Linked DNA regions of Styela clava. The protein of the gene in region 1 interacts with the protein of each later gene in a pairwise test. Links are inferred from orthologs where the notes say so. Each region holds a gene or a part of one and is shown on either strand. Other genes may lie near its edges. The genes, in order: vacuolar protein sorting-associated protein 33B-like and spermatogenesis-defective protein 39 homolog.

Evidence for each region.
Region 2: the proteins of vacuolar protein sorting-associated protein 33B-like (region 1) and spermatogenesis-defective protein 39 homolog interact in binary tests that used the Homo sapiens proteins (3 or more experiments, as listed by UniProt). The link is inferred for Styela clava from reciprocal best matches to the Homo sapiens genes VPS33B and VIPAS39.

Annotation. Positions count from the first base shown.
Region 1 is NC_135251.1:15,320,757-15,331,937, forward strand, and holds the start of vacuolar protein sorting-associated protein 33B-like, read right to left. Parts: upstream 5,277-11,181; 5' UTR 5,124-5,276; coding exon 4,820-5,123; intron 4,622-4,819; coding exon 4,440-4,621; intron 4,015-4,439; coding exon 3,781-4,014; intron 3,402-3,780; coding exon 3,259-3,401; intron 3,168-3,258; coding exon 3,068-3,167; intron 2,738-3,067; coding exon 2,590-2,737; intron 1,931-2,589; coding exon 1,719-1,930; intron 1,456-1,718; coding exon 1,187-1,455; intron 50-1,186; coding exon 1-49. Other genes in the region: uncharacterized protein LOC120336189, read right to left, coding at 7,077-9,347, 9,431-9,508, 9,604-9,770, 10,127-10,262. UniProt on the Homo sapiens protein: May play a role in vesicle-mediated protein trafficking to lysosomal compartments and in membrane docking/fusion reactions of late endosomes/lysosomes.
Region 2 is NC_135250.1:4,101,473-4,113,512, reverse strand, and holds the start of spermatogenesis-defective protein 39 homolog, read left to right. Parts: upstream 1-7,412; 5' UTR 7,413-7,530; coding exon 7,531-7,554; intron 7,555-8,051; coding exon 8,052-8,188; intron 8,189-8,879; coding exon 8,880-8,976; intron 8,977-9,659; coding exon 9,660-9,738; intron 9,739-11,171; coding exon 11,172-11,305; intron 11,306-11,988; coding exon 11,989-12,040. Other genes in the region: general transcription factor 3C polypeptide 4-like, read left to right, coding at 4,493-6,646.

The DNA.
Region 1 (11,181 bases):
ATCTTCTAGTCCACCCCAACCTTGTCTTTGCAATGCTTGCTCCACGAGCCTGTCATAATGAGAAAAAATATAATTCAGACCCAAGTTAAAAACAATAGTATGGTATAATGATCATTCAATTAATTATTAGTGAGCAAATACAAATCGCATTTGTGTAAGTTAGAGTTATAGTATATCTTGATATCATATATTCATGATCTTGTACCGTAACGGAAGGCATGTGATGAGGCAGAGATAGGAACATGGAGTTACCAAGTTAAACTATTAAGTATATATATAGCCTAAACCAGGAGTGCTCAGCATGGGGCATGCATGCCCTATGTGGCACGCCATAAGATTAAACGTGGCACGCCAAAGGTTTGGTACAAAGTAATGTATCTATTTATAATAAATCATATTAACTCAAGTTAAAACAAAAAAACTTAAATCGTTGTGTTTATTCACACATTGCTAGATTGTGGCCGTGTTATCAAAAGGTAGTAGGTAAAAATAAGGCCAACCTACAGTAGCGAGCAGTTACTAGTTAGGTATAGGTAAAACATGATTATTCTGACTAGTAAAATAAACCCTGTTGGGTGTTTTAATAATTTAAATCAGCAAATTCATTCAAACATGCAGAGCATTTAGATTCAGTAGTTTGCATCTCTATCTCCTCTGAATCCCAACATTTCAAATTTGGCCCATCACAAATATCATCAAAACAGCAGTTTTTCATGACATTAAAATATTTCAGTAAATAGGTATTCATTATTATGTTTACAATACCAACAATTATTTAAAAATTTCAAACGTGACATGGCACAAGAAAAGATTATTCTGACAATTTTGGCATGTATGCTCATTTGAGTTGTGCACCCCTGGCTCAAATCATGTTATACTGATATTAGAAGGTGGAGATTTTGATACAACAGCTCAAAGAACAGGTCCAACAATCAATTCAGTAATTTGGATTAGATAATGTAACTGTTCAAATGCAATTTGTCAAATATTTGCTGTATTTTTAAAATCAAAGCTTAACAAAATTACTAAAAACTCAAATATTAATCTATTATTATCAAATATTATTTACTTCACTTGTTTTATATGAAAACTGCCAACATGTCAATATCCCAAATATACACCTGCTTAAATCAAATATATTTTGTCCTTATCGTTATCCATCTCCGTCACAGAAACCACCACTCACCTGCATGTCAATGGAACGTACGCACCACCAAAAACATAGGCCATATCTTCTGGATTTTTCAGGTTATATTGTCCCGCAGTATTTTTTGGAATGAGACTTAACTTCTTACTGACGGTTCTAAACCAGTCTCGCTTCTGTAGAGAAGCTAATGAGCTAGCAACGTATGATACAGCAGGACCCATCACTGCCTTTTCAGCATATTTATTGAGGTTTGCTTCAATGGAAGTTGTTGACTGCCCTTCTTTTTGTGCCTCTGTTAACAAGCCTGCCTGTAAAACCAAAATTTGGTGGGATGACAAGTAGGCAAGAAACGCTAATAGGTAAATTTTCTTGTTCTCACTGATACTTTAAAACTCATATCAGGCTTTTCTCAATGTGATTGGCACTATGTCTACATAATAAAGTCGTGTTAAATGCCACATAGCTAAACAATTCCTTTGTAATCTGAATTTCTTTTACTAGAATGCAGTGAATACATTTAAGTCATACAAGAATCAATTAGATTTTAACACAAATTTGAAAAGCTTCTTACCTTCTTCAAATTAAATAAAGTCAACATATATTCATAGCCATAACTCTGGAGAAATTGGTGTCGAATGTTTTGTAGATCCTTAGGTAATAAACCACTAGATGTGCATGAGAGTAAGCAAATCAACCTTAATGTTAACAATATGTCATACTGTCGATGAATGCATTCCTCCACATAAGACATGCACTCTCTTGACTCAACTCCTTCTAGTAGGTCTGAAATCATAAAATACAGGTACAATTGGTTAACTTAATCTATTATACAACTTGATTGTTAAAAACTAGAATTATTGAGAATCATTAACATTTTCTATTGCACTGATGATGTATTGTACCCAGATGGAGATTAGCCAGATAATCCTGATTAGGTCTATATTTGATCAATACAGAATTTATTTTCTATACCCAATACCAAGAATTTATTTTCTATACCCAATACCATGGTGTGGTTCGACACCGATATCAAAAATATACCATAAATAAAATTAATGACAAACTCATATTAAGAGAATAGAAAAATAAAGAAAAAATTTTCATCTCTATAATATTAAGGTCTGTTTCATGGCCCAAAATTTATTGAGAAGCATCAAAATACTGTATTTTTGGTCCTGATTATGTATCTTTGATATAGATAGAATCACCCATACAATACACTTACAGTAGACACACTGCAGTGAAGCGAAAACTTGATATTTTGATAGTATGGGTATAAACAATTTGATGGCAAAGATATAAATTTACTTCACATTGACACAGGAGTCCATACATTATGATTATGCTATCACCAGCTCAATACATGACATAGGAAATATTCAAAATAAGCGAAATAAGATGAGAGTCGCTAAAATATGCACTTCAAAGTATTTATCACTTACGATGCTCAATCCTAAGAACATCTTGTAGATCCCCTTTCTTGAGCGAACCTTTCGTTTTGCTTTTCAGAATCACCTCACTAGCACCTATGTGTAATGTTATTGATCTATGCACCTGCTTTAATCCCTTCAGATCTTCTTGGACAAATTTCTGCATGGAGTTAGAAAATTGACAAAATTTAGTTATGGAAAAATCCCCATAATAAATATATTTACATGTTAAATGGGTAAGGATGACCCAGGAATGCTTATAAAGATGAGTTTGAGGAAGTTGGCGCAACAGAAACACACCATCAATAACAATAAAAACAATAGATGCATGGATATGAATACTCTTGAATGCCAAAAACGTCAAGTTTTTCAGTTGGACCTTCGTAAAATTGCTAAATAATAATGCCTCTCCATCTTACCATATGTGTCATGATGAAGAGTCACTCTTTCATGAATAATGGATCAAAACAAAATATAAAACAAAAAGTACCTTCAAATTGCTCAATTCTTTCATGTCATGTCTCTTGTCATATCCAGCTTGAACCTCTTTTGCTTTCACACTCAAAAATTGAAACACATTAGTGAAATGTCTGAAAAGAAATAATATTATGAAATACGTCAGATTTATAGCTGAGTATAAAATATTTTGTGAGTTATTTTGTATTTTAAACTACATATTACCTATCTCTTATTTCTTGAAAAATCTCATCACTAGAATTTAACACAGTTTTAACACTCTTCTCTGACCCAGTCACCTCTTCTCCAAATTCTATCACTCCACATTTGATTTCAAATATGTCATCCAATAAGCCTTCATATGTGACCTACACAATAAATTGACATGAACATTACATTGCAAAGTATATGGCAGCACTGTGGCATTTCACTTTCAGGTTTATTGAACATATCCAGTGGTCATCAGCATGCAAATGTTGGCATGTTGCTTTCATCACTTAATTAAGAATCAATCTTCAAATGTTTTCCAGGGGGGTAATTTTTTGCATTCATACATTTTTAATTTCAAGAGGTTGATTGTGATCATGTTACAACTTCAGCATATCGATAATTGAAGAGACCTACATATCTAGTAAGCTGAATATATCTAGTAAGCATGTTGGTGAAGACCTAAAATTTAGGCAATTTTAGACAAGATCATAAAGAAAACATCTGCTTCAACCACATTCTTTCAACAAATGTATGTACCTGTGAACAAAGTGGTGTAACATAGTCGACATCTCTATCTATCAATACAAGATGTCCAATATTGGTCTCCAATGAAGTTCGTTTTTCTTCCAATTCAACTGTCAGTGTTTTAACAAGATCATCAACCATCGAAGCAGAATTTCCTTGACCATAAATGTTTGGAATAGAACCAAAAATCGCTTGCAAGTTTACAATAGATCGTGCAACTGTGTGCAACCATGTCTGATCTCCATCCTGAATTACAAAATAGAAAACTGGTAGCCATCTTTTAGCTCTTAGTTTCGAATTAGGGGGTGCCTCCTCTCCATATTTAGGTCTGCCTGTTAGAACTAAATTATTACAAAAATATGATTTTCTTAAAACCTTGAAATGTGACATAAGCTAATTTGCATTGTGTAGGTTAATAGTTGCTTTAAACCGAATCCCATATGATCAGAGAACAAATTGCATGGAACTATGCAATAAAAAATAAACGATACTTTCATATGCATCATAAGTGAAATAAAATGAAAGAATGGTAGGAGCTTGATTAGTTTTGTGTTAATCTCCATCCCTAATTGGTGTATGCCCTTACATAGGGCCGCCAATGAATTGAGTGCCCTTTCGAGTGGGATTTATTCATATAGGCTCAATAACTTCTTTAGTTTTAAATAAATTACCATAAAAAATGAGTTTAAGAGTTGAGGTAATTCCAGTGACACAATATCAACATCTACAGGGATTAAATCAATATGTAGATCTTCTATTGTTAAAAATCCTATAACACCTTCTTGTTCTAGCACCATTTCACAAATAGACAAACGTCTTGGAACCATCAAAACTCTATATTTTCGAAGTTTTTCTGAAAAATATCAAAGAAAATTAAATAATAATTTGATGTTTAATAATAATTTGAAAATTTTGATGTGCAAATCAGTACAGTAGTAGGTGCTTTCATGAATCACTATGTCATGATGTGGATCTGCAGCTATTGTCTGTCAGGTTTCACGGGAATCTGAACTTATATTGTCATAACAGGTAATAATAAAGAAATTTTCACCTGATCGTTTGTCCGATAGTACATGTGCAGCAATATGCTTCATATTGTTTATTTCGGGACGTACAATATAAACTCGTTGATCACATCCTCCAAGTATTTCCTTATGCTCCAATTTGAATATTTTATCTACTCCTCGTTGCTTTAGAAAAGTTAAGCCAGTCAGCCGATCAAGAGGTGTCATAAGATCTGGATCTATGACCAAGTCCTTTTTTCCATAGAAGTTTTCAAGCAAGACTGTGAGCTGTTCTTGAGCATAATCCTTCAACACGCTCATATCAGGAATTTTCGGTTGCATAGACGACATCTTTCAGTCTTTCCTTTAATATTGAATTACATGAATTACTGGATCACAAATCACATGAAATTATAGATTCACATTCCTCCAATACTAGAAAACCAGGATGTTTTATGATATCTTATTATATTATCAGACTACCGTACCTGTGCTGTTGATATAACCAAGTTTCGAATATTAATTAATTGAATCTTTAAGCAAGGTCACACACGCATTCTGACATTCTTTCTGTTCTTTTGGAAATCAAAATAAATAACCTCAATCTATTGCCTTATTGCAGTATTGGGCCAGGCCCAAATACTGAAATATATTGAGCCACCGCCATACTCCCATAGCCATGGCCCATACTGCCATAGGCAACCCGGTCTCGGAAACTTAAAGTTAAAGCAGTCAAGTCAATACAGCAATACTGCAAAATGCAGATATGGTAAATGAAATCAAATTCAGAAATTAACGACTGGCAGACTGGAATCAATTGAGATACGGTAGCATATGAACTGTATACAAGACTGAAATGGTGAAAGAGGGCATCAATGTTTATGTGGTACCGGTACAGTTTTATGCCCACAATCAGACAATGAAATGTTAATGCTGTGCCGTAATATATGAGAAAAGAGACAATCTATCCACACGCAATTTACTATTATTGCCAAAATTGAGCTTACATATTACAGTATTCCAGTATTATCAAAATAAGTCGAAGCTTTATAGAAGATAAGCTTACTCGCAATGCGAGTCCGCAATGCAGCAATGGAACTCAACACTGTGCTTTTTTTACCTATCGATATCGATCGGTAAGTACTTTGATAGGTATATGTCTGTCTGTTTGTTGTTAGACACTTTCGTATGTTACGCGATATCTCACGAAAGCGAGTGTGAATCTGCTCCAAATTTTGCATGTGCATTCATCATATCTCTGACCAAAAGCCTGTTGATTTTGGATGAATGATAATTCGATGTCGTATAATTAGCGAGTTATTAATTAATTAGTGATGGGACACGCGGTGTCGCTATCGAGTCAGAGCGGAGAATACACACCGCTAGATCGATAAGTCGGCGGTCTTCGATCGCTATCTCGTTTCCTTCATCAATCTGTCAATGAACTTGATTAATCCTGTAATCAGAGTCATACTTTCTTACTACAACTCTTCGAGTTTTCCTTTTTTTTTTTTTACTTGATCGTTACCTTTTCTTTTGGAAAAATTATCCATGTTGTGGCTTACAAGAATCAAACAAAGTCGTAAATGTCTACCCGAAACCCAGAAATTAATAATCTGCCTAGTAGTGTACCGATACTGAAATTATTAAGGGAGATACGACGAAAATTTTTTATTGTTACCGGTCTCATTTTCGGGGAAACACTGTATATGTCAGACATGTTCGCATGTTTGAAGCGCTTACGGTCCCGTAATACAAAAGTACAGAAGTCTTTGCAACCGCCTACGGTTAATTCTTAATTTTTATGTGGACCGATATCCGATCACGGCGATACATAATATAAAACTTTGAGAGCGTAATTAGATCCCAAGATAAGTTTACAAAAAATCGTGTTTACCTCATATTATTTTTACTTACTCTAATTCCTGACACTTTAAATCATTCTTAACTTTCATTGAGCAAGTAAATTGAAGAGATAGAAATACAAGAAAAAATCTATTATCACTCATCAACAACCTTTTATTAAAAATACTACCGGGAAGATGAAAATTTCTCTGTATAACTAATATTCATGAAATTGATAAAAATAATCATAAAAAATATGACACTGGCAAACAAATATTCACCAAATTGGCATGTTACTTTATTAAAATCATGGTCTAATAAACAGTTCAATAAAAATAAATAGAAAAAATAAAAAAGCCGAATGAAGATAAAAAAAAACGGCCAAATAAAATATACGTTAAATGGGAAGCATCATTGCATAGAATTAGCGATGTTCACATGACATTAGAGTAAATGTTTTCATAGCAAGTGTTTCAGTTCTAACCAATCTGACGACTTTCCAAGTGAATGTCTTTTGCACCAGTCTGGATCATGGTCCAATTCTAGAGCTACTTCAGCTAAAAAGTCAATAAACTTGTGCATTTCTTCCTGAGAATCAGAAAATCCTTCGTTCCATGAAATGTGACGCATTTGCGTTATATTAAACGATGCTACATCAAATGTAACTCCTCTATACGTCACCAAGTACTGATCGCTGATATTTTTGTGTGGTATTTTATGAGTACGATTGATCCGTCCTGAAGTTTTATCTTTCAACTCAGGTGCAGAGGATATTAGACTAAAGGAATTTGAATTAATACGCGTATTTGACATTGAGGCATGAGCTGACTTCATTTCATGATCCGTATCAGATAAAGTATGATATCCATCGTCCTTCAAGGTGGAATTATCTTCGTTCATCGATCCGACTAGTCTCTGAAATTCTTGTTCAGACATGGGAATGCCTACAAGACGATTTTTTGGTCTATCCAATATAGGAGAGCGAATCATGCCAAAATTTCCTGGCTTTCTATTCAAATCATAATCCTTTATAATATTAGATCCCGTTACATGAATGTCTTCGTCACACGATTGCACAGTTTTTCGATTAAAAACGGATCTGCTATTTTTGTCTTTCTTTCCAGTGGGACGTTTATCATCGGTATATCTGGTTTCATTTATTGTCTGCTCAACTGCGCTCTCTGAACGCCCACGTCTTGCTGAAGTTTCAGATCGGTCAGAATCGATGGAAGGACATATTGCGGGAACCGTGCGAGGTTTCAGGTTTTGTTTTAAGGTTCTTTTCACCGGTGTAGATGTCGCAAAATTTTCCACCGGTTTTGTCTTTTCTTCGGAAATGTCAGTGATGCTACGACTTCCTTTCTTTAACAGACAATTTTTTATTGACGACAATTCCAGTTTTTCCAGAGTACCATCTCTTTTGTCGAGATTAGTTGTGGCAGATTCTCCTACAATTTTATCACAAGGTACAGTCAATGGTTGACGTTTACAAACCGGATTCTCATTATCAACGGTCTGCCGTGGAGACAGTTCTCTATTGGTATCCGAGGCGCCTTGATCTTTTCTTTCAATGGATTTGCGCAACGCTGAATTGTCAGCTTGTAGATGTTGAAAAGTCAATTCTTGTTGATGATACGCCGATTTCAGACGTTGGAAGTTGGAATACATTCGGTTATATGTATTGTTTTTTCTAACAAACTCTTTCCTGACATTAGTCAAAGATTGCTTCATATTCTCATTTTCCTTCATCAAATCATGTTTTTGTTTTTTTATTTCATCATATTGCATGATAGGAACGTTACACTCGATTGATTTGTCTTGTTTCTGAATGTTTCCTGGTTTGAACTCATTTGTCATCTGAATGAGAAGAGATTCAATTCTCTTCATGTCGACCCGCAGATCAGCATTTTCTTTTTCCATTGATTGACAGATTTTAGTATTTTTCTCCAATAACACTTTCATTGATGAATGCGATTGAGACAACAAGGTATAGTTTTGTTTGCTAATGCACCCAAGCATTCCTATTTTATAAGCATCATTCTTAAATATCTCTTCACTTTCATCTTTCTCTCGTCGATGTAAATCTCTTGTCTGTTCTACTGTTTCATGCGCTGCATTCAATTCTTCTTTCAACTTGTTGTTCTCATATCTTAGTCGGATCATCCTGGCTTCACAAACTTCATCTTTGTTTTTTAAAAGATTTTGCCAGACACATTTCTCACGTTCAAATGCTTCAGTACGTTCCTTCAGTTGTAGTTCATGAGCAGTAGCGGCAAGTGAAGCTGCAACTTGCACGTGATCGACAAAATTGAGCAGATTTTTAACTTTGTTCCACATGAACGTTGAGCTTTCATTAATATTTTGTAAAGACAGTTTACATTCGAAAAGTTCACCAAGCTTCTCATATCCACGTTGAAAAAGCTTCAAATCAGTCTCTAGATTTTGCAAGAATCTTGCTCTACTCTCTTGGTTTTTTATTCTTCTCAAAACGCCCTCTTTCAGAGAGATTTCCTCTTGCCACTTTTTCTTGTATTCCTCCACTTTATCTAAAGCTGACGATAAAGCACGTGATGAGATACGAAGATCATCGGTTTGTTCCTTCAAGGTGGATGAACATGAATGCAACCGATTGCGCATTTTATCTGCATGAGCTCGTGTGATGTTAAGTGCCATCAAAGCATCTTCCAGCTGGCGTCGAGACGTGTTTGTGCTGGAACGATCATTACTTTCCTGAATATAACAAATATATTTTTATCATTTTGCTCTTAGCAGATTTCTTTTTTTTTGTTCTATATTCGACCTCTCAAACTTACCATTACAGTCTGATCCGCAGATTGACCAGTGTTGTTTTTGGTCTCCAGATTAACAAATTTTTGTTGTACTTTCAAACGCTAAAATAAACACAATAAATGTTAATAATTTGATACCATTGGGTTACTATTTTCATGCATATTGCAGTCGTAGTGAATTGAAATAAAATAATTACCTTGTCTTCGCAAGCGTTTGACATGAATTTAACTTCGGATTTTATTTTACATCCAGTACTTGCATCTCCACCATCTCGTTCCACACGAGGTGTATTTTTGACGACCGCTGACAACATACTCTCTTTTTCAATTGGTCGGCTATTCCAAGAAAGCTTTCTATCGGTTTCTGAAATGTGCAATTGTGAAGTTATATATTTGGAAATTCTTTGCTCCGTTACAAATGTTTCAAATATGATATTTTTGAAGAATTGAAAAAATCATACGTCTGAATTGTGCATACAACATTAACAGAATTTGTGAAAAAAATTCATCTTATATTAATAATCTATTCATTGAAAATATATATTATTTTTCAAACAGAATATGAATTATCAACGCAACATTAAACTGATTCTTGGCAAGAAATAAAACTGCAGACCAAGTAGTCAATTTTGTGTCTAACATCTATATTTGGATAAAATAAAAATCAGCACATAGCTTATTTATATAAATACAATGACCCCAAGTCAAGTGTATACATACCATCGTATTTACATGCCGATTCATTTGTACTTTTCTGAAGATGTATGCCAACGCGGGGACAGAGTTCATCCTTATTATCAAACTCTTCATCAGTAGCTGACATATTTGAGGATCTTTCAACAGTTTCCTCATTCATACTTACAGATTTGTCTGCAAGTTTTTCGATTTGTATTCCAACGAGTGAATTTTATTCAAGCAATTGGCGTCTAAAAACAACCTTGAAACGTGAATGTTCAATTGTATTTAGTACCAAACGGAGATAAAAAAAATACATAATAAAAAACGAAAATGTGCCAATTGTGTCCAAAAGTTATTTTGGACCTGACACACAGAACTTTTGGCACAAGCATTGCGTTCGCGTTCGATCTTGCGTCAGCAGTTCTATCACAAAAGTTTCCAGAAATGGATGATACTTTTGTGGGTAGATTTCATGTCTGTTTCTGTTATAATATTTGCGAATATATATTTAATAAAACTTCGTCTTGTATCGAGTTTATCAATGTATATTTCCATATTTCTGACATGTTTTCAGTGGTTCAACGTTGCAATACGATATACATCGTTACAAAACCACCTCTATGCAAATTGATCTAGGTATTTATATTTTTCATAAGCCTAACGTTATATTTAATTAGATTCATTTTACCTGTTGGTGGATATCGGAAGCTGGTTAATCTTTTTAACGATTTCTCACAATTTGAAGTGCAGTTTAGCAAACAGCAGAAATCAAATTTATAACGGAAATCTGATCTTCTGTTACCAGGGAAACTCAGAACAATGGAAATATTATTTCGTCCAATCAGAACGTTACATTCGTAACTATGCCTGAGAAGTTACCTCCTTATATGTTACCAGATAATTCAACTTGGTTCCAAATGACAAAGGTAAAAAATATTTAAAAAAAGGCTACATTCAAAAAAAAAAAGCTTACTCCGTGCGTAGAATAAGGATAATCAAAGTTGATGTTTTGAAATATATTAGTAATTTTATTCTTTCAACATAAACTAGTTTTCTTGGTTTATTCATATTTTTGTTCTGGCATACTACCTATTGGA
Region 2 (12,040 bases), on another chromosome or scaffold:
AAATATTGATAATATACTGAAATAGCAATGATAAACAATAGGTTATTTTTAAATAAGTATTACCGGTACTAAAAAATAAATAAAGTGCTCATATACATATAGATATTTGGATACAGAGCAAGTATCATAGAATAAAATTTAAGGCAAAAAACTGATTAAATACCAGAATAGCAAGTATAATAAACATTAAGATACTTTTAAATGAAGTATTACTAAAAAATAAATAATGTGGTCATGTACATAGATATTTGGATACAGAGAAAGTGTCATTGAATTTAGGGCGAAATATGGATGCAAGTATGATAAACAATTTGATATTTTTATAAAAAGTGTTACTAACAAATAAAATAATAGATTATGGAGTTCCAGCAAGTGTGCTCATAACAAATAAAAAGATAGCAATTCATTTACCATAGTGAATTAAATTCATTACACATTACTACTTGCTATAACACGGCGGGCACATGATACTCATCGTGTTTTATACTTTTTTAAAGGTTTTGCTCGCTCTCCAGAACTCTCCATTTTTTATTTGTTTGTATTGTCAGATTGTGAACTTTTCAAAATAAACTATCTCTATCTATATCAATGAATACAATATCCCAGGTCACCACTTGGCTGGTTCATATTCTGTTCTGTAGTTAAGTTTTCTGCCTAATAGATGGTATGTATTCCCAATAAGCATTACAGTATGCTCATTCGTTCACTCAATGAGTGATTTTAATTACGGTTAAAATAATATAATATAAATAAGTTCATATTCCATTTTGCATCCATGATTCAGTATTTATTTTGTTCAATTCCAGTAGTAATCCATACCATAATTAGGTTATTTTAATAAACGCATTGATATAAAACAATAAAAATGAAATTAGTAAATATAAAATACATATCATAAACATATAATTTTCTTTTTGAAATAACGCTTCACATAAATTTTTCAATTCCCTCTCAAATGGGTTGTTTATTCTATAATTCTCTATATTTTTCTACATATTCCATGCTTCAAGTCCATGTTTCCGAAAACAAACAATATAACTAATCCCATACCCGACTTGGAATGGTAACCGGACGAGAGACCGTGGTTCTTCTCTGAGAGACCTTATCCTAATAAATACATAAATAACCGCACTCCACTGGGCGACTGGTTCATATTCTGTACTGTAGCTACGTTTTCTGTCTAATAGATATGCATTCCCAATAAGCATATGCCCATAGTTGTATGCTTTCAGCGTACCATACTTCGAAACCCAAAACCAAATATGTATTGAAGAATTAAAGACCTCAATACGGCCAATTTCGCACCCGACTCGGCTGAAGCAAGGGATCTTGGCAGCGAGCAATGCGTTTTCTTAATATGCAACGAACCATTTAGCCGGACGACGTAAAAAATGCAGGGAACAATACCAAAATGAGCAAATCTTTGCAAGTTTCCACTCATTGTATATATGCTCATTGGTTCGAAGTAACACAGGAAAAAACACAAAAAGCTATATACATTGGAACTATTTACCAAAACAATATCCAAACACTGTCAATATTGGCAGGCAACATGGAGGTGTAAAACCATTTATTAAAACAGTAAAAGCAATCTCAGTTACACACTCACACAAAGAAATTCCATGAGCAAAAGTGAAACATTGATGTTACAGTAGAAAATTCAAATTATGCTGGTGTTCTAGGTGGTACATAACCACTTATTGGCAGCAGAAGAGGAAAAAATAGATATTGCCAAAATAATATCCACAGAGTAAGGTTGCAGGAGCTCATAAAAATCGAAATGTCTTTTGGTTGATTTCCTCATTGTAAATAAAATCCGACGTTGTGATGTGCTGTACACTAGGTGCAATGTTTCATATAAAATGCCTGTCTGTCCATCTCTTTTTCCTTAGTTCTTTGCGAAGCAAGTATGTAAAATTGGAATCTTGGGTAACCCGTACAGCAATGCCAAAGTAGTCTTTATTATCCGAATCCTATTATTTCGTTGTTCATCATTTAGAATGTTGATTGTTTCTAATTGTTGTATTCCATTTGTTTCCACTAACCAAGTTGTTATCTTCGGCGCTATTACTTTTTGTTTAGTTTTCAATTCTAGTATTTCACCTGTTTACCCTTCCATGCTTCTAGCTGTGACTTGAGACATGTATTGTAGCCTACTAAACCCAATTATATATTTGGGGTTCCTTTAATTACCGGAACGGACCCTAAATTACCGGAACGGGGTGGAAAACATACATAAACCTTCCGGAACGGACCTTTAGATGTCTTGCATATGTCATTTCATATACTTCCATGCAATTTTTATAATAAATCGGCAAACTTGGGAGGGGAGGAGGGGGGTCAGTGGTAAAAATAATTTTCTTTAATTACCGGAACGAATTAAATTGCCGGAACGCAGTGAAAAACCTACCTAAACTTACCGGAACGGACTTGTATAAATCTTGCAAAGGATATTTTATGTTCTTCTAAGCGATTTCTCAAATATAATTAGAAAATTTGGGGGGATAAATGGTAGAAAATACCAATTTCATTTTGCGCCGCCTAGTGGATGTAAATTGAGCAATCAATTCCTGTATCATCTCTTATCAATATGAATTAATGATAAAAATCGATAATCAAAACCTTCTTATATGTTATTAGCCTTTAATTTTCCTTGTAGATAAGATAACGTAGTCATAGATTCAGATTGAAACAAATAAAAATTGTTTCCACAAACATTCTTGTGCAGGTGTTGTGACTATGTAGCACAACATAAATATCCACCTAAGCCTGTCATTAAAATGAAAATGTTGTTATTTTAGTTCGCGTTCCTGTCAGCCGTAAAAAGTGCCGTTCCGGCACTGTAATCTACCTTGATATATTGCATATTGCTTCGTGTCCATATATTTGAGCATCGTCCTCTTGTTTATCTACATACATACAAATCTGATCCTCTAAAATGACTCCTTCAAAATTTACTAATATGTTAAAAACTGTTTTCACAAACATTTTTGTGCAGACATTGTAACTATGTAGCTAAACATTTTATATTGGAACTGGTTGAAGTACGTGAACATATTTGACAAAATACTTGAATTTAAAATTTCAGCATAGGAAAATGCGAGAGGTGACCACGAGTTGAAAACGATTGTCGCTATAGCCTTTATAGCGAGGACGGTTCAGAGTGCTCCTGCTGATTTCTCTACTGATAACACAGCTTCGAGCCCCGTTATCTTATCTACAAGGAAAATTAAAGGCTGATAACATGCAAGAAGGTTTTGATTGTCGATTTTTACCACTGTCCCCCCAAGTTTGCCGATTTATTATAAAAATTGCATGGAAGTATATGAAATGACATATGCAAGACATCTAAAGGTCCGTTCCGGTAGGTTTATGTATGTTTCCCACCCCGTTCCGGTAATTTAGGGTCCGTTCCGGTAATTAGAGGAACCGATACCGGTGTATTTGCACATACCAGATTTTGCGGAGTCTTTTTTCATCTTTTTTTAAATCCCAATTACTCCTCAGCACGTAGCAAACGGCAGCAAAGCAGAAGTGATGATGTAAATTTAAACTACGCCAAATTCATATTACCAAAGATTGATTAAGATACAAATGTATACGTCCTACCTCCAAGCGGCTCACGCCGAAAGAAGAAACGTAGCAATTTTAGAGGAGGCGTTCATTCACAGTTATAGTCTAGTAGGGACATAGCGGGAATCGACAGTCTCATAATGATGTATCGACATAACTATTCTCGTAGAGACGAAGTCATTTCATTGTGGATATAACCATTATAGTAGACTGTATTGACATACCGGCACCGTAAGCGTAACGGACATCGCTATTTTAGTAATGTAGTAGGAACATGGCGGTAGCCGGTAGGGTAGCAAATTTTCAAGGTTCTAGTCTGGACTACAGTCATTGGATTAGGTAACGTAGGGCGTAAGGTTAAGTTGTTGCAATGTAGGCCTACGTACACAAAATTACAATACATATTTTCAGATTTTATATTGAAACAAATATCAGAATATTGCAGAACATAATCAATAATTTGGATAAGCGAACACGTACCGTACTACTACAGTACTACTTTTATCAATACCTTCCCACCTAAAATCTGTACACTTTAAAACTTACTTGAGGTTTCGTTTGCTTTCTCGATTCTATAATCAGTTTTATTTATTACTTATCTATATTTAGATAGAGTCATGAATCGAAACCGCAGTTTCGATCGATAAGTCTTCAGTCTCCGACCGACATTCTCGTTATGTTTTTATCAAATATTTTATCGTCTATTGCTGATTATGGAGTCGAAATAAACTTACTTACTTACTAATTAATTATCTTTGAAACGAACTGGACACATCATCTACTATAGGGTCTATTACACAGCTTTATTGCAGTACTGTGTACCGGTATTTGTCCAACACTTACAGGTACACCCTTATGGAAAACTAAACTCCTATTTCAAATGTTTAAATTTATTCAGGTGTGGTAGCTTATCATCAGTATGGAACTTGCTACCAGTAACAATAAGACAAATGTTTTATCTGTTGCAAGCAATGTAGACTTGCGGGATAGGATCGTTGGCGATTATGTATTGGACTGGTCAAAAGATAATTGCATTGCAGTTGCTACGAGTAAAAATGTAATGCTATATGATCTGAATCCATTATATGACGTGAACAGCTCGGAAATGTGTTTCAAAATCCAAGCCATCTCGCCGATTGAATCGCTTGATTACGACGCTGGAGCTCGGAAAATGATGTATGATTATGACATGTTGTGTGCTGTACCGTCCAAAAATTCTGCTTACCCTGACTTCGAAATTTATCGAATGCATATGGATCTTAGCATAAATAGATCTCATGGATCAGAAGAAGTTGGAGACATGGGATTCCGAGCGGTTCAGTTTTCACCACTAGGGTGTGCAGTAGGTAGCGGAACTGTTCTTGCCACTTTGACAATGGGGCATCAGCTTCAATTGTTTTCAAAATCTTCTGATGGTATATTTGTACAATGGAACAACATTAGAAATCTAACTGAAATATTAGTCAAAATTCTGCTTAAAAATGAACAATATTACCCTAAAATTAAATTCCCAACACAAAAATTAAAATCCCAGAATATAGTCGAGAAACAATATGCACCTTGTATTGTTTGCATGGAATGGTGGGATAAAACATACATAAAAAGTTCCAATGAAAAATTTATATTTCTTGCCACTGGTACGAAAAATAACTTTGTAATAATTTGGAAGTTGCATCTGCCGATTAGTTCAACTTCAGTTGTGACTATTGTGAGTTACATTAAAACAAATTTAAAAGGGATTAAAAGTATTAGCTGGTTGAAAATTGGATCGAATGAAGAAGAAATTCTCAAACTAGCAATTGGGGGAATTGAAGGCGTGGTCAATTGTTTAGAGATTGACTTAGATGGAAATTTGTTGAAAGAGAATGAAGTTTGGAACGACAGAGACCAGCTCACGGTTTCTGCTATTGATTGGAGAGAAACTGATGAAGGTGATGACACTGGTTTGCTTGTGGCAAAAGGACCTTTGCTTTTATATATGAAAATATCTTCTGATCTTGCGTTGATATCACATTCAGTTTTAATTGGGTTACACATTCTTCCAGTTGTGAATATACAATTTGTAGACCAACCCGCTTCGTGGCTTACAATCAGTAGAGATGGTCGTCAAGCTAAAGTTGTTTTGAAAAAATCTACCGAGGAGAATCTAAGACTACAGTATGAGGTTTTATCGGAGCAGACTAATCAATCTTCTATGGTTTTTCACGAAACAACGCATTATCATATTTTATCACCTAACGGAGCTTTTGTTGCGAATTTACGATCAAAACCCAAAGTATCATTATCTATACTTGTTGAAAATTCAGCGTATTTGGAAATTTTAACTCTTAAAAGCGGAATGGAATGTTTTCAATCATTGTGCGCTCAAGTAGAACAAAATAATGCAGAGGAAAAAATGAAACTAGATTTGGTTGAGTCCATTCGACTTCATCTTATTAACAAAAGTGTGTTTAAGAATGAGTCAGACTCTGTATTACTGAGAACTTGCCTAGAACGGTTTCTTGATTTCGATGATGCGGAAAGCAATAAGTTACGCTTGACATGGATTCTGTTGAAAATTTATTCTGCTGTTTTTTCGGAAGGGGGACAAGATTACTCAAAAAAAATTCTGCAGAATGAAAAAATATTATCAAGCAGGCAAATGATGAAAGTTATAAAACACTGGTTCATAAATTCAAACAATGAAAAAACTGAAACTCATCAAATTCCTATAAAAACTATCATAAATTGGTTGTGGAAAAACAAAAATATTTTAAACGAAGATGATTTTAGTTTTGTAGAAAAGGTACGAACCTCAAAAAATTATGAGCTTGTTAAAAAGGAAACGTGTCCGATAACAAGAGAATTTTTAACCATGTCTGAGGACGCTAAATCTGCCATAACAGAGTCTAAATCAATGACTTGGTTTCGATGTTGCTTGACATTTTGTGCTCTTCATTGTTTCAAAGCAAGAAAGTGTGAAATCAGTAATTCAAGGGCATTGAATTTAAATGATTCAGGGAATGCGGAAGAATGTGCGATCAATGGCCTGTTACAAGATTGTTCAATATACAGTGGTCTTCCTATGATTTAATTGTTTCTTATTTTAATATGCTTCAAAATAAATTCTCTTGACCTTTGACCCATCAGTATGCTTTAATGGGAAATTCCTTAGGATGCTTAGAAACTACCTTGATCTTTGACTCCAAATAGGATAGGATTTTTGTATTCATTTATAATTTACATGCAATCTTGAAAATCTGGGCCAACCTATTGCCTGAGCGATGGTCAAAATTTCATTTATAATTGCATCACAGTGTACTTGTTTATGGTTAGTCATTGAAAAGGAAATAAACAAGGAAGTTATCAATGCTCTGTGAAACATCCTGCTTAATAACACATCATGGCAGGCGTGAATGTTAATAATGTGGAGATGATTATGTTTAAGAGATTGTTGGAACTGTTTTGGGTACACCTGTAGTGTGTGTGCCAGGTTAGGCCAACGTTTTATCCTGATTGCCTTATTTTAATTCTATTGCAAGTTCGGGGACGGCTTCTGTTACCATGTCAATAGGTGTCAGTCCCTTTACACAACCTGATGTAAAGTAGGCGAACAAAATTAGTTACCTCCATATTTGTACACATGCTTCTAGAGCGCTGTTGTGTATAAGGCGCATATACATGTCTTTTGCTCTGAACAAGGTCATATACAAAGGATCCACTGCTATCTAACCATATGAAATCTCTTAGGATTGGCGTTTTCTTATACTATGTGCATTTTATTGTCTTTTTATGACGATATTATTTAAATCATGTTCCACTTATTTTCCCCATTTTTACTTCACTGCCAACACCCTTTTTTTAGCGTAAATTGTATTTATTTACATGAAAATGGTGATATAGAATAGAGAAATCAGAATTGGATTTTTCATGTTTGTTGTTTGGCATTAATAAAGGAATATACAAAAGCAGGAAAAAATGTCAGCAAGAAAAGCGACCAAGGTGACTCAATTCAATACGTTTTCGATAAACTTGATGGGTATGTCAATAAATGGGTTTGAAACTGACATGGGCTAATTACAGCCCGAGGGCCGAATCCGGCCCGTTTGGTAATTCAATATGGCCCGTCGGGTGCTGCCACAACTAAACAAAAACCAAATTTTGATGTTTTAGCTAAAAAATAGCTTAACAAATTTGTTGTGATTGCAATCAAAATTGGTATGAGACTTATTGTTTCTTTGCTTTTGTAACAATTGTTGTTCATGAAATGTAACTTTTTACGTCACACTTACATGGCCCGTCAGTCTAGGTGGGCAAAATTTTTGGCCCCTGATCCAAAAATCTTGCCCATCCCTGGTTTGGAATCATCTGTTGAATTTTTGTAGCATGTGTTCTAGTGACATCTTATGAGGGTTTTTCTTGGTGATTCCGAGCAGAGCCTAATATAAATCTCATCACTTTATTTAATTATACTTTCAAATTCTTCTTCTTTTATGTAGCCGTCCAATGCCAGTCAGGAAGATTCAGAAGACTACTGGAATAAATCTGCACTCACAAAATTTAATTTCGACGATGAAGAAGATGAAGACACAATAGAAGTTACTAATTGGGATGGATCTTCTGCTAATCCTGACAGGTGAGTGTTGCAATGACGTGATCGAATGGAATATTAACTACATTGTAGTCTAGATGTTGTTTTTCTTTAAATATCAGACCAATGGTGAATGGTTTTATATTTTAGTAGGTAAAAGAAGTGTGCCCTCGTTTTTTGTGTTGCAAAAATTGCTTTCTTTTTTCACAAACTTCTTTGATTGAAAATTATTTTTTAGGATTTTGGTGTATCTAGTACAGGGTATTTTCCTGCCTATCAGTAGTTTGTGAAGTAAATGAAAAACACTCTATATGTAAAATATTATGAATTTTCCTTAGAATTCAGATAAGACAAACATAAGCTTGAAACATAATTTATGTAGGTCTACCTATGCACGAGGAAATGAAGTTTGTTTTTGAAATTCTGACTAATAATTTACAAATCTTAGTGAGTTTTTTCAAATATCAAAAGATGCTTATTTCAGCTTTTTGCATCCAAAACAATATGTAAAGAGCTACTCTTTTGAAAAGACAAATATTTTTCGGGTTTGGCATTGCCTAATAACCAATTAATCACACTCTGGGGTTGATGTGGTTGCCTTGAATTAGAATCCAAGTTCTTCACCAAATATCCAGCAATCTGACCACAAGACCATTTCATTCTATTTAAATAAAATACATAAAATTTCTAAGAAATCTTTATCTGTATTCAAGTCTTTACTTTATATGATTTTCAGACCTCATTCTCAAACATCACAGAAGACCAAGGCATCAACTATTGCAACGGCGGTTTCAGCTCGTGCTTTTCGAGGAAAGACTGGCTCAGCTTCTCAGGTGATGACAGATTCTATTTATTTTTTTTGTTTTTCAATTTGTTGTTTATAAAAAGTTGGGGGCTTCCGAAGTATGTGAACCAAGATGGCGGACATCGGAATGTAATATGTGTACTAGGTTAGGGTTAGGCCATAATTTTAGCTATAAATACTAAGGGAGGCTCTTGGCTAGTCTTCGGACTGATAATAGGACTAAAATAAGGAAAATTGGAAAAAAATTATCGCCTAACCCTAACCTGTTACCCATGTTACGTTCCGATGTCCGCCATCTTGGTTCGCATACTTCGAGAGCACCAAAAGTTGGGAGGCAACCTTCAAGTTCGAAAAGGCATCCCGGAAAAATTTGACTACATCTTCAGAAGCATCTTACTTTGTTCTTGCAGTGTTTGCTAGAAGTCCCAAAATACAGTGTCATGTCCAGTTACAGGTAATCCTGCAGACAAGTTTAATAAATCCATTGCCCAAGTTCGAATACTTTGGCGCTAAAATTGCCAAAAATCAAATCTAATAAAAAACTTCTTATGGCAGTGTAGTGGAATAATTAAAATATGATTCTTACCACATTCAATAAAATCAGGGTTAATGAATGATATTCCACTTGTCCCACTTTCGACCTCTTGATTAGACTAAATTGAAGTTCGTATATCAATTCTTCCATCATGTAAAACTATTCTTTTTTTACAGTCTGTAAAATTCTCTGCTCGGGGAGGAGCATCTATGAGTAATAGTGTTGTGTCGCCACTGGAATCAAGTAAAAATGAAAGTGAGTTTTATGTGAAATAGCTGACCTGTAGTGGCTCATTGTTTCATTCCCAATTTTTGATCATTTCGAAAAATTGCTCCACACTGTGAATTCGCAGTAGGGCTGTCCAAACTCGAATATTTTTTTGATTCGAATCGAACCGAATATTTTTCTCGAATCGAACCGAATAAAAGAATATTATTGCGCAATCCTTAATTGTCTCTAATCTAATGTACAAAAAAAAACTTCCTCTTCAATATTGTGTTAACTTATGTGCAGTTATATCTAAATTATTGCAAACATTTTGCATAACTATGTTTCCAGAGTTATAAAAGGAGAACACAATCCTCCTTGAACTGGTCAAAAAAATAGGGTTTTGAAAACTATCAAGTTTTGAGAGTTGAAAATTGCACAGACTCTTTTAATGCTCGTAGTTGCTATTTTAGTCCTATTATCATTAGTATTATTAACTCAATATTTTTAGTGTAATTTTCAGTAAAATGATAAAAACAATTATTAATATAGATATAACTGTTGTCCAAAAAATTCAAAATTGCATTTCGGGAACTCACAAATTCAGAGCTAGTTTGATGACATTAATATTTGATGACCATATTGTTGCTGTACAACAGCCATCAACTCACAAAATTGCAATTATTTGTCATAGTAATAAATTTTATTGGAAAAAGATATTGGACCTCCAAAACTTGATTCAGTCCTGTACCATGTTCCTATGATTACTGACACAACAGCTACAAATCGATTCTATTTATAGAACTGGCGTTTTTTGGCTGACACAAAATTTGCCTTTTTCTCCTTGTGTTCTCTCAAAAAACGTCATCTTTAAATCATTGTTACCAATAACTTTTCATTTATGACCATGCATGGAATGGATAATTACATGTCACCGGGCAATAGGAGAGACCTTTTTACAGCAAAGAAAGCGATAGAAACATGTTTTTGCTTGCCGGTCGTGCAAAGGTGGTCGTGAGGCGCATTATGTACCAAATTTTAGCGATTTCTAAATCGGTCCAAAAACGCTTCGAAATAATTTGCGATTCCATTCGATTTCGAATATTTGGTTCGCTTGGACAGCCCTAATTCTCAGTCAACCGAAATTGGAGAGCGATGTCCAGAAATGGCCAGAACCAAATATTTCACTAATTTGAACACATTCTGAAAGGTCATTGTTTTCTCTGTGTTGTTTATTATTAGTTGAGATATCATACATTTTGATCTGCTTGTCTGATGGCTCTGAATCCCTCTCAATTTCCAAATAAAAATATTCTAAATTATTCCAAACTCAAAATTTTTAATAAATTTGGAGCATATCGATTTGTTTCGGACATCACTGGTGAGGTCCCAAGAAACCGTGTTAATACTAATGTTGTAGGTATATTAGTGTTACCTCCTTGTTTTCTTATATTTTCAAATCTTCAATTTATAATTCCCAGCACCTCAAGGAGTATCAACAACTGTGTTAGCAAAACTAGAAACAGAAAGAAATACTTTGAGAAAACAATTAACCCAAGCAAAACGTGAAAGAGCAACAGCGCCCTCTAAACAAGAAACTTTGAAAAGATTCATGGTAAGATATTTTCACTTGGATTGAATCAAAACAGCAAAATATTGGGTGAATTATTGGGCCCCAAAGGATGCAGAGGGAATTAAAAAAAAAAAAAATGAAGGAATAGCCTTCTATAAGTATTGAGAATTTGAAATAGGTTGTTCCATTTTTTGTAAGGGAAAGCGATTGTCTCGCAACAATTTAGCAAAATCTAAAAGTACACTTCATGTCCAATAATCAAAAGGTTGATAAAATATTGAATTATGCAATTTTTTCAACTTCAAACTTGTGATTCATGCGTTTGAGTGTGGTCATATATAAAGGCGTATTAAATGAAGAAAAAAGGTACTACCGTAGTATGTGAACCAAGATGGTGGACACCGGTTCGTAGTATGTATACCTGGTTAGGGTACGCGATAATTTCAGGTACAAATACCACAGGAGTCACTTGGCTAGTCCCCAAACTCGTTGTAGAACTAAAATCCGGTGTCCGCCATCTTGGTTCACATACTTTGGGAGTACCAGATAAAATACCTAAAAAATAAAACAGATTAAAATGAAACAAACCTGGTTAGGATATATTGAGAATTGACTTTATAACAAAATAGAAATTGTAAATGGACTTTGAAAATGCTCGATACGATTATCAAAATTAGCTTAAAATCTAAAATTATCTAATTTTTCATGATCATTTTTTCTTCCAGCTCGGTGAATCAGTTGTGAAAGAACTGTATCGTTCAGTTGAAGACAAGACAG